Arabidopsis thaliana: one gene and its partner. The protein of the gene in region 1 interacts with the protein of each later gene in a pairwise test. Each region holds a gene or a part of one and is shown on either strand. Other genes may lie near its edges.

Evidence for each region.
Region 2: the proteins of UGT87A2 (region 1) and SHD interact in a two-hybrid assay, tested with the Arabidopsis thaliana proteins (one study listed by BioGRID).

Annotation. Positions count from the first base shown.
Region 1 is NC_003071.7:12,870,278-12,874,491, reverse strand, and holds UGT87A2 (UDP-Glycosyltransferase superfamily protein), read right to left. Parts: upstream 2,509-4,214; 5' UTR 2,293-2,508; coding exon 1,797-2,292; intron 1,673-1,796; coding exon 801-1,672; 3' UTR 626-800; downstream 1-625.
Region 2 is NC_003075.7:12,550,948-12,558,152, forward strand, and holds SHD (Chaperone protein htpG family protein), read right to left. Parts: upstream 5,112-7,205; 5' UTR 4,905-5,111; coding exon 4,838-4,904; coding exon of another isoform or gene 4,834-4,837; intron 4,734-4,833; coding exon 4,616-4,733; intron 4,534-4,615; coding exon 4,380-4,533; intron 4,289-4,379; coding exon 4,208-4,288; intron 4,042-4,207; coding exon 3,930-4,041; intron 3,845-3,929; coding exon 3,718-3,844; intron 3,625-3,717; coding exon 3,486-3,624; intron 3,268-3,485; coding exon 3,153-3,267; intron 3,049-3,152; coding exon 2,855-3,048; intron 2,766-2,854; coding exon 2,550-2,765; intron 2,468-2,549; coding exon 2,302-2,467; intron 2,182-2,301; coding exon 2,040-2,181; intron 1,956-2,039; coding exon 1,805-1,955; intron 1,728-1,804; coding exon 1,323-1,727; intron 1,240-1,322; coding exon 955-1,239; 3' UTR 605-954; downstream 1-604. Other genes in the region: TLP1 (THAUMATIN-LIKE PROTEIN 1), read right to left, coding at 1-121, 205-274; AT4G24200 (Transcription elongation factor (TFIIS) family protein), read right to left, coding at 5,980-7,205. UniProt on the Arabidopsis thaliana protein: May have a molecular chaperone role in the processing of secreted materials. Required for shoot apical meristem (SAM), root apical meristem (RAM) and floral meristem (FM) formation, probably by regulating the folding of CLAVATA proteins (CLVs).

The DNA of each region.
Region 1 (4,214 bases):
TTGCTGATTATCACATTTGTTGTTTTTTATAACGTTTTTAGACACTCAAGTGACCGGTGTGCTTTTTAAAGAAACAAAACCTAATCCCAAGAAACAGACTGTTTAAGAAAACAACACATGGCTAATTTTTTTTTTTTTTTTAATTAAGACAAATTAGGGAGATTGTTATCATTCTGTTTATAACTAACAGAATAACAATCTAGTTGACAAAAAAAATCTACATAGTTGTAAATTTTTTGATAACAATGTGTTTTCTTCAGTGCTGTTAGGTTTAATTTCATTCATTGGACTCTTCTCCTAATGTAGTCCACTCGATTATGTTAGAGGCAGAGTTCTCAGGTCATGTTCGGTTGTAATATTCTTTTTAGTTGCAGTTTAATAAATTGCGAGAGACAATTGTCTATTCTCACCTACCAAAAAAATAAGATGTATGATCATTTCGTGAATTGTAGAGATAGGCCTCATAATAAATCCCGTTTTAAGTTTTGCTTCAATTTTGTTCTCTTTTTCTTTTCCTTGTATTTTTGATGTGTTTTGGGTATTTTGTGACGTCTTGGGGTTTGATTAATGAGAAAGCATCATTTTAGATTATAAGCAAGCAAAATGATGATGCATAATGCATAAGCGGGGAGCTTTCCCACCATTAGAATTTCTATAAATTTTTGACATATGGTAAGAAATTGATTTAGCTATAATTTGGTGGTGGTTTTTACTTTTTAGTCATTCAAAAGATACATATGATTTAGTGAGCATGCCATTGAGCCTTACATTGTATTGAAACAATAAAACCTCTTTGAGCCTTAATTTGTATTGGTAATATGCCGAACGAACTCATCGATGTTTACATTAGACGAACCGCTTTTCGCAACAGCTCCTCGACTGATTTCACTAAGGTCACAAGCCCTTCTTCTCATCTCTTTCCCTTCTTCACTCTCTCTATCCATAAACCTCTTCACTACTTCCTTGATCTCCTCTCTCCCTATCAACAACTCATTCTTTTTCGTCCTCTCGATCCTCATTCCGACTCTCCAGTCCTCAACAATCATCTTAGCGTTCAGAATCTGATCCCAAAACAACGGAAACGCTAGCATTGGTACTCCTGAATATATCCCTTCCAATGTCGAGTTAAACCCGCAATGAGTCCAAAACCCGCCTACAGCTTTGTGACACAGCACCCGAAGCTGATCACACCAGCTCACCACTACACCTAAGCTACCTTCAAGAGCCTCCTTAAGCTTTAACTCGCCCCCACGAGCCACCCAAAGAAACCGGACTCCACTTTCTCTCAGTCCTTTCACTATTTCCTCCATCTGAGCTTCCGAGACCGAAAGAAAACTTCCCTGAGATATGTAAAGAACAGAGCCTTCCGGTTGTTCCTCAAGCCACTGGATGTAATTAGGTTCCTTGTTATCATTTTGAACAGAAAGTTCTTCAAAAGGTATTAAAGGACCAATAGCGTAGACCGGGATATCGAGCTTGGAGGTGAAAGCGTCAATAGCTTTGTGTTCAAGCTCATAGGCGGTGGTGAAGAGTAAAGACCTAGCTCCTGGTAGTTCATCGAAACACAACTTAGCTGTCTTGAAGACTCGGTCGCTGTAACCGTCAAATATCGGCGGCAAATCTCGGAGTTTCGTCGGAGATAAACCGGGGACGTAATCAACAACCTCTTCTTCTTTAGATTCCAAAACAAACCAAGAATCAATACTAACTTTTCAAGAATCAATACTAATTAAGTTTCAACAAGAATCAATATATACCAAGTTTCAAGAATCAAAACTAATTCACTGATGCTTTACCTGATGGTTCGAACAGAGCATGGCCATGACTTATGAGTAGATCAGAGTGGAGGAAGAAGGAGAGAATCGTGGCTGACATGGTCCAGAGAGAAACCACCGGAATATTCCTTTTTCTGCCGACTCGCACAGCCCAAATGACGTAAGTGTCGGCGAATATTACACTCGGAGGTGGTGAATTGAGGCTGTCAAGAAGCTTCTCGAATGGTTCTTCCAATCTTGTGTAGACGGCATCAATGAAGCCTATGAAGTCTTTGGCCCTGACAAGCTCGGAAGGGATGAGATTAGGGAGAGTGGAGAAATGGATCCGGTCGGGTTTCGGGTCGGGTCCAATAAACCCGAGCCATTCTTCTGTGACGACGAAGGTGACGTGAAGGTTAGGGTATCGACGGACAAGGCGTTTGCAGAGGTTCATCATAGGGTTGATGTGTCCTCGACCTGGATAAGGCATGGCCACCACGTGGCGAAATTGGTTTGGTGGAGATTCATTTGGATCCATAGGTTGTTTCTTGTGAAGTGTGTGATTTTGGTCACTGTGACTTGAGGAGGTGAAGAAGAGAGTAGTGGGATGCAAAAAAAAAGTTTTAACATTAAAGCAAAGTTGGTGGTCAAATGTTTTTGGTCATTTGGTGTGCCGTATACGGCGAGTGTGACTTTAAAGTCAAAAATGGTTACAAAATTCGATTTTTCTTCATTCCATATAAAGGCAAGACAATTTTTGTTTTGTGTGGCTAATGGCTATGTGGCAACATTGATCCAAGTTTGAACCAGACCCAAGACCAATTATTGTTTAGTGACTTGGTTTAGAGAATACTTATAAGACCTTGGTTTAAAGAAGAAGAAAGTACAGACTCTGAGCCCAAGAAATTGGAATGATCCTGTTTTAGGTGAGTGTAATAACACTTGTCCAAACATTTGAGAAAATTGAAAGCAACCAAATCCGAAAAGCCATAACTGTTTATTTATTATTTCTCGGACCAAAATATTTCAAGGCCAAATACTATAGTAATGGGCCTCCATATTTATTCTTTCTTCGTCCGATCAATGGGTTTGCTGCATAATCGTTTCTTCTTTCCATCTCTAATTTGGAAAGTGGACCATATAGTCGACTTTCAGATATTGTATATTTCTTCGACCTTGTTGTGATATCTCTTCCTTGAATATCATTACAGCATATATGGTCATTTTTATTTGCATTCATTTTCATATGAGAAGATAAATTAGTTTTAAAAAAATGTTTTTACTATATAAGACTCTACCGTCTATATATTATTTTGAAAAAGACTCGGTCAGATAGAAATATGGCTGAGAATTTGTTTTCCATGGTTTTTATATCATACCTTGATTGGGAAATTGAAATTTTAAGTTATTCTATGGTTTAGGTGCTTTATCACATTTTTTCCCATAAGGTTTTTTACATTTGGTTTTTAGGTTTTCTAGTATTATTACAAAATTTACGCTATTTAATTTAGTTATTTGCTTCTGTCATGTGTAGAGTTTGAAGATCGATCGCTTATGTGAAGCTATAATTTTGTTTATTTTCTTTTAACTTCACAGCCTGAATTCGTTAGCGCACCAACGGAAATTTTCGTTGAGGTGTGGATAAATTAATTAAGCGGCTATACACTATTGGATGTATCTGTAAATCTTAACTTTTCTTCTGCCATTATAATCATATTATTTCTCTTAAGACTCTTTCTGCTATTTAATTAATTATAACTTTGGCTTGGCAAATTAAAAAAATTAGTTCACACATGGCAAAAAAAGATGTATTTACACACGTGCATGGAGCACATGGACGTCTACCGGTCTACGTGTTAGTAAAAAGACATATACATGCGTCTAACTTAATAATTTATATAGTGAAAAAATTGAGAGAGAAAGAGAAAGAATTTTTTAACAAACAAAAGAAAGGTTCTTATTCCTAAATCCTAATTAAAAAGTTGTTACGCGTAAAGTTAAAGATAGAGTATTATATCCCACTAATTATATAGCATATGGTATGAATATGACAGTTATAAGTTCTCTGGCTTGGTAGGATCGTCAAAAACAAGTTAAGGGTATTTATATAGATATATAATTAAATTTGAAATTAAAGAACATGATCGATTATTTTTTTAGTCATTCGATTCTTCCCATGTCGACAGGCAATATTTTGAAAATTTTTCGTCTACTGATCACATGAATACTATCAATAGATAACATAATCAAATTCAACACCACCACCTCTTCTTTCCTAACTTAATTTTGGTGAATTAAATCTATATGATTTTTTTAAGGATTAGTACAAAAGCAACAGTAGAGGCGACTTTGTGTTCTAACGTGTAGCTTATGATTAATCAAATCAGGTCGGTCGAATAAATCTATTGTGAGTCAAATTGTAAAGGTTGAATCATGTAGATTTTCTTTTTGAATAAAATG
Region 2 (7,205 bases), on another chromosome or scaffold:
TCGAAGCCGGTGGTGCCTATATCGCCGCTTCCGGAGTTGGACAAAATTCCCGGCCACACGGTGAAGCTGCATCGATTTACGATGGTTATTGTAGCACCATCACTTCCTACCAAATGCAATGCTTTAGCTATATGTTAATATTTACATTTTATATAGAAATATTCATACTGATATGAAAGTATGATAGATATGAATATTACGTACCATGGAAGAAGAGGAAGCTAAGGATGATGAAATAGAATGAGACATGAGAATGAAGGACTGTTATGATCATCACTGTTTATTTTTGTCTCTCTATTAAAAAAAAAAAGTACTTTTGGTGGAGAAATTAAGTTTGGAATATTCACAAAACGAAAGACCAAGAGAGAAAAGAGGAAAAAGAAAGACCAAGAGTAGAGTTTAAAGCACCTCTATATATACGTTGTCTCAAGGGTCAAGCTCAAGATATGTGATGATCTCACAAAAGTATTGACCAATTTCTTTTATGTTTTAAAGTGATACAAGATAAAACAACATCTTGAAAAGCCATGTTATCACGAATATATTGATTAAAGTCTTTTTCCATATAAAATCTATAGCTTTACAGATTATCTGTTTGAAATTTTTGCAAAAGTCATAAGTTTTCGAAAATAAATTTTGTGGAAAATAACACCGAGTAATATATGCATGATAGGTGGCCAAATTAGCTAAAGAGAGTGCATATTATGGTACCATATCTAGATAAACTCGGACAATCTAGATAAACTCGGACAGCAGGACCATTAATCTTGAAAGATAAAAAACTCATACATTGAAAAGAAGAAGTTTAGGTTCCTTGATCTCTAGAATGCAAGTAGTGCGTTTACATAATCCATCAAAAACTGCTTAATTAAACTAATCTTGATATTCGAGTAAAACGATGTTCTGCTTTAAACTAAAGAGGTAAACACAAAGGAGAAACATCAGAAGTGAAATCTACAGTTCGTCCTTGGTGTTCTCTTCTTGTTGCTCAACGGGTTCGGCTTCAATGTTTAGACCACCAGCCAAGTCATCTGATTTCGTCTCAGTTGCCTCACTGGTCTCTGGTTCCTCTGCTGCCTCGATTTCCTCGTCGGCTACTGCATCAGGGCTGATGTTCAGACCGCTCTTGACTGAGTTATAAATACGGGCAGCAAAGTCTTTTGGGTCGGTGAGTATGAATCCACTCTCGATCAAAGCTGTCTGGTACATGAGCTGTGCTGTTTCCTTCACACTCTCATCCTGAGAGAATTTGGTATGTTAGTTTATTTCTCTAATAGACAGTAAGTAAAAAAAAGAATTGATGGGTCTTATGTTTGTTTTACCTCTGGGTCACTTGCAATTCTATCCTTGAGTTCTTTGATGATAGGGTGTCGTGGGTTGATCTCGAGGACTCTCTTTCCGCGCATGTAAGCTTGCTTATTAGCATCCGAGAGAGTTTGGGACTGCATGATCCTCTCCATATTAGCACTCCATCCAAACTTGGATGTTACGACTACACATGGAGTGTCAGCCAAACGGTTGCTGATTTTGACATCGTCTACGTTTTCGCTAGCGAGATTTCCTTTCCACCACTTTGTTAGCTCCTTGAATGCTTCCTTCAGCTCCTTGTCTTTTGAATCTTTCCCAACCTTCAGTCCTTCCTTGGACACATTCTGGAACTTTTTGTCTTCGTAATCCATCAGGTATTGCATCAAGTATTCATCAACTGGGTCTGTGAAGAAGATGACCTGGGAACACAAGTATGAGAACGTGTTATGCGAGTTGGAGATCATTTAAAGAAGAATTATTCGTGTGCAATGCAAACCTCATAGCCCTTCTTGATGAGCCTCTCCAGGAATGGAGATTTCTCTAGCTGTTCCTTGCTGCTTCCTGTGATGTAAAATATGTCCTTTTGGCTCTTTTTCATTCTCTTAATGTACTGATCCAGGGAAGTCAATTTTCCATCGGACTTTGTTCTGAAATAGCAAAATACAAATCTTTAGCCTGCTGGTGCTAATGAATGGACAGACGTGTATTAAAAAAAAAGTAACAGAGCTTACGTCTCAAAACGAAGAAGTTTTGCCAAGCGGTTCCTGTTAGCAGCATCCTCAATGATACCTAGTTTGACAGACTTGCCAAACTCGTTCCAGAATTTTGTGTATTGACCCTTCTTCTCATCGTTCTCACCAGACTTCTCCACATCTGCGTGCCAACAAGTCAATAAGCTTAGACCATGTTTCAGAAAGATGAAGCTACCAAATGGTAAAAAAAAGTGGAACGGTCAAAGTGGATTGATACCAAGAAACTTGTTTTATGGAATACCTTTTTTCTCATCATCATGGATTTCATCAGGATCTTCTTCAGCAAGCTTGCGGATCATATCAAGCGCCTTTCGGATAAGCTTCTTCTTAATTGTCTTTAAGCTGCTGTGTTGTTGAAGCATTTCTCTTGATACATTTAGAGGCAATGTGTCAGAGTCAACAAGACCCTGCAAAAGCAACTCACGTTAGGGATTTAGCCCATAAATTTGTATTGAAAGAACCCCTTAGTTTGTCTTTCAAGTAGTTTACCTTCAAGAAACTCAAATACTTAGGCAGAAGCTCATCAAATTCATCTGAGATGAACACCCTCCTGACATATAGCTTCAAGTTCGCCTTGTTGCTGTTGTAATAGCTCTCGTATAGATCATGGGGAGCTTTCGGAGGAACATACAACACAGCCTTGAATTCAACATCACCTTCAGCATTAAAGTGACTCCAAGCCATTGGCTTCTCGTCGGTAAAATCCTGTATAACAACTGGGGTCAGGGAAATCCACACGAAAATTTTACACCTAGTATGTAACAAGTATGATTTAGTTAACGCATGGTTTTCACCTTTGAGAGAGAGTGGTAGAATTTAGTGTACTCTTCCTCTGTCACCTCCTTTGGACTTCTCAGCCATATAGCCTTAACATCATTCAGAAGCTCCCATTCATAAACTGTTTCTTTCACCTTCTTGGTTTTCTGCTTTTTCTCACCATCTTCCTCCTCAGCATCTTCTTCCTTTTCTTCCTCGGTAGAGGTGGTTTCTGAAGTCAAGTACCATTACCAAAAATCAGGGCTGCCTAAACTGAAGGGAAAAAAGATAACACTGCAGCAGAAAATTATAATATGGTGTTTCATTAATACTCACCAGTTTCCTCATCAGCTGATTCATCTTCCTCAACTGGGACCTCGGTTTCAACCTCTTTGCTAGCCCAGAGGGAGATAGGGAAGTTAATGAATTCAGAATATCTCTTCACCAATTCCTGTAGTAGACAACAATGATCATTAGCAACCATAATGAGAGGATAAACAGAAATATTGAATAAGCAGTGCACTGAATTCATAATAATGCTGAACCACTTCCCCTCAGGAGAGTTTGGGGTTCTCTACAACAAACCCTGGGTTATTCTGGTTCTTTGCATTGCTTAATTTAGGTTTGTAACAAAAGAGAAATTTACTTTCTTATCAAAATATTACCCACCTTAAGTTTACTTTCTTCTAGGTACTCGCCAGCTTCATCCCTAAGATGTAATCTAATCTCGGTTCCACGTCCAAGAGGCTCATTCCATGTATCCTCGGAAACAGCAAATTTACCGTTAGCCTTTGATTCCCATACATACCTGAAAACGGAAAAGAAGTTATCAGAAAAGCTTTTCAATGATTTTACATGCCCACAAGTATATTGCCAAACAAAGCCCTCTAAATCAACTTACTGGCTGTCATCATTGTGCTTGCTAATGACTTCAATGTAGTCAGCAACAAGATAGGCAGAGTAGAATCCAACTCCAAATTGTCCAATAAGGTTCAAATCCCCACTTGATTGCATTTTCTCAACAAAAGCTGCGAAAGGCAAGATCTTAGAAATATGGAATTTATTGATCCATACTATTATGCAGGACAACGTATCACCACATAAGTAACGTACCTGACGTTCCAGATTTTGCTATGGTACCAAGGTTCTTGATTAAGTCTTCCTTAGTCATACCAATTCCCCGGTCTCGAATAGAAAGAATCTTCTTGGCTTTGTCTAGCTTAATCTGCATACCATAGCATAGTTACGGAGGTAAGAAAAAAGCTTACACTAGACACAATTCCAACGAAAGGCTAAATTTACTGAGATCAGCATTTGATAAAACAAATCGATGAAACTCTATTTTCAACACTCTCAAGCATAAAAATCATATTGAGAAACATGTAGCTAACCTGGATCTCAAGCTTAGCAGTGTCACCTTCACCCAAAACGTCTTTGTCAGTGAGTGCAAGGAACCTAATTTTGTCCAAGGCCTGAAAATCACCAACACAGACACTTATTAGTTCCCCTATTTAACGAGGTATCCCAAAAACTCACTAAAACAATGTACACGAAGCTGCTTACATCAGAAGCATTGGAGATCAACTCTCTTAAGAAAATGTCCTTGTTACTGTATAGAGAGTTGATAATAATGTCCATAAGCCGAGAAACCTCAGCTTGGAACTCAAACTTCTCCGCGTTACTGCGAAGCGTCTTCTTTGACATCGACTCAGACTCTCTGTCGATCAAACGAATTCGAATAAGGCAAGATTCAAGCAATCCAAGCGAAAGTTCTACCGTGAAACTAACAGAACACTAACCTATGAACTACATCGGAATCCGTCGATAAACCACCGTGACCACCAATTTTCTCCTCAACTTTTGGTGGATCTGTAACATCATCGGAACTCTCTTCTGCATTCGCGTGTAACTTTCTTCCTATGATAAACACCACAGAAATATCGCCATCATCAGCATATGAATCCTAAGCAACACTTATATCTATCTACTCAAAATCAACACATATATACATCGAAACGTACCTTGATCTGGAAGAAGAAACAGAAGCGAGAAAAGGAACAAAACGGACACGAGCGTCCTCTTCCTCATTGTTAGATCGGAGCCTTGGTTCTCTCAGTCTTTGCTTTCGGGTTACTCAGTGATGATGATGATTCAGCTCGATAGATCCGTATATAATAGGAAATGATTCAGTGATGTGTGAACTGTTTAGTTGCGTACACTTTAGTTTCTCCTGATTGGTTAGCTTCGTCATGATTTGCCAACGTGTCAGATCTAACGGATCGTATTGTGAGATAGCCACGTGGTAGTTTTGTATTGGAGCAAGGTTTTGTTCTTGACGTGGAGCGACGTGGATTTCGGGGTTGTGGCGTGGATGGACGACTTTTAAATTATCAAAGTATGCTAAATCAACGGTGATATTCGTTTACGTCCTAATTGGGACGATCGGACGGCTATATTTAGTTGTTTTACATGTGACAAATAACTATTGGATATTAGGATGCTATGCTTTTATTGATGTCGGATACAAAAGTAAAATGATGTTTTTCTTTGTACAACGATGATTATGCTTGCCAAGGTTATTACGTTTGGCTGGCTTTAATCGGTTGATGGCTAAAGTCTCGCCTAAAGGCGATACAATTTGTCAATTTGGGAAGATCATAGTCATCACTCATCCGTAGTAGCAATATGTATGCGCGGTTCAAAAATGGTAATGTCTATTTGGTCCCATTATTTATTGAAAGATACAACACGTGAGAGACTTCCTTCCTCACCAGAGACCTCCTTCGCTGCTTTCTTCCATGAACAGTTGTTCAGAAATGAGAGCATAACATATCGACGAATGGAACGAAAATGGACGCAACAGATTAATCAAACCACTAGAACCTTTTCTGTATCTTAAAACTATATATTTATTTATGGAGAAAAACCCAACAAGGTTAAAAAGAAGCTTGACATATACCAATGTTTGAACTAATCCTCCTATATGTTATGAAATAAAATAAAAAACCTGAAAAATGGGAAAACTGAGGAAATAAAAAAAAAAGAAGGAAAAGTTCAGCAAGACACTTTATAAGTTACCTCAAAACACTTGTCATCATCCTTTGACCAATCAATCAATTCATCAACCTATTCAAGAACCCATCTCCACCACTTTGTAGATCACTCACCTCCATGGAGGAAACTCCCAACGTGGCTCCGGCTCTTTTCGCTTTCCACCAATGCTGATAGAAGAACTCGATGAGGGCTCTACATTTGCTCCTGAATGCTCTCCCATAGCCCCGCTTTGTGAAGGTGATAGAAACTGCCTCAAATTTAGCGACTCTCTGTTTCCTATCTCAAGTCCAAACCCAGAGTTCTGATCAAAGTTTGGCCGCATTGATCCATTCGTACTAGGCGATCCACCCGCCAAGCTCATGAACATGTGTTGTTGAGGGAATGGTGGCTGCACATACGGCGCTGATCCGATTATTTGCGGCATCATCACTGGGGTACCTCTTGAATCCACCATGTATGGAATAGCAGTTCCAGGAACATACATGGGTGATGACATTGACAAACCAGGAGGACCAGTCAATCCGTTGTAGCCATACATAGGGGCTGGAGAAAAGGAGACACCAGGGGCTAGACCCAAAGAGTTTCCCGTTCTTCCCATGTGTAAACCTGTTGCAGGCTCGAGGGACTTGCCATTGGACAAGAACGAAGCCATCTGAGGTACAGAGTCTTTTCTGTCAGCTTCCACTTTTGTACCCAAGATAGATATACCTGGTTCTTCCAATTTGTGCCCCCCATAGGAGGCTGTACTCCATGGGTGCCGCCCATAGTAGGGACCCTGATCACGTGAATCAATGAAAAACTGTGGCCTGTCATTCAAATCAAAGTTTACTTCCTTGCCTGATTGTTGAGCAACTGACGATGAGGAGACAGGTGATGCGCTTTGCTGACCATTGTGACTTAAAAACAATCTTGTTTCCATCTTCGACTCAGAAGGTGGAGGCATCTCATCGTCCTCGTTCATACAATTCAAATCCAAGTTGAACTTGCTTGATCCTCGCAGACTGGCTTCATGTGAAGACTCTCCACCCCTAGAGTTTGATGAGGAGAAAGGAAACTGTTTCCAAGGAGTAAGATCTTCAACTTGATCATCTCCTACCTCAGCCACGTTCAGATCGATACCACGAGAAATCACCTGCTTTTCTCTTAAATCCCCACTAGGAACTTTATGAGGTAATGCTGAGTGAAATACACTCGTAGCAGCTGATCCTTTCCCGCTAAGAGATCTTTCCAAATGCCACGGTGCTGCTGCAGGCATTGCAGAAGATGAGACAGAAAATGAAACAGACATAGGAGCAGGGGTTGTAGATGTGGAGGACATAATGACATCTGTTTCAT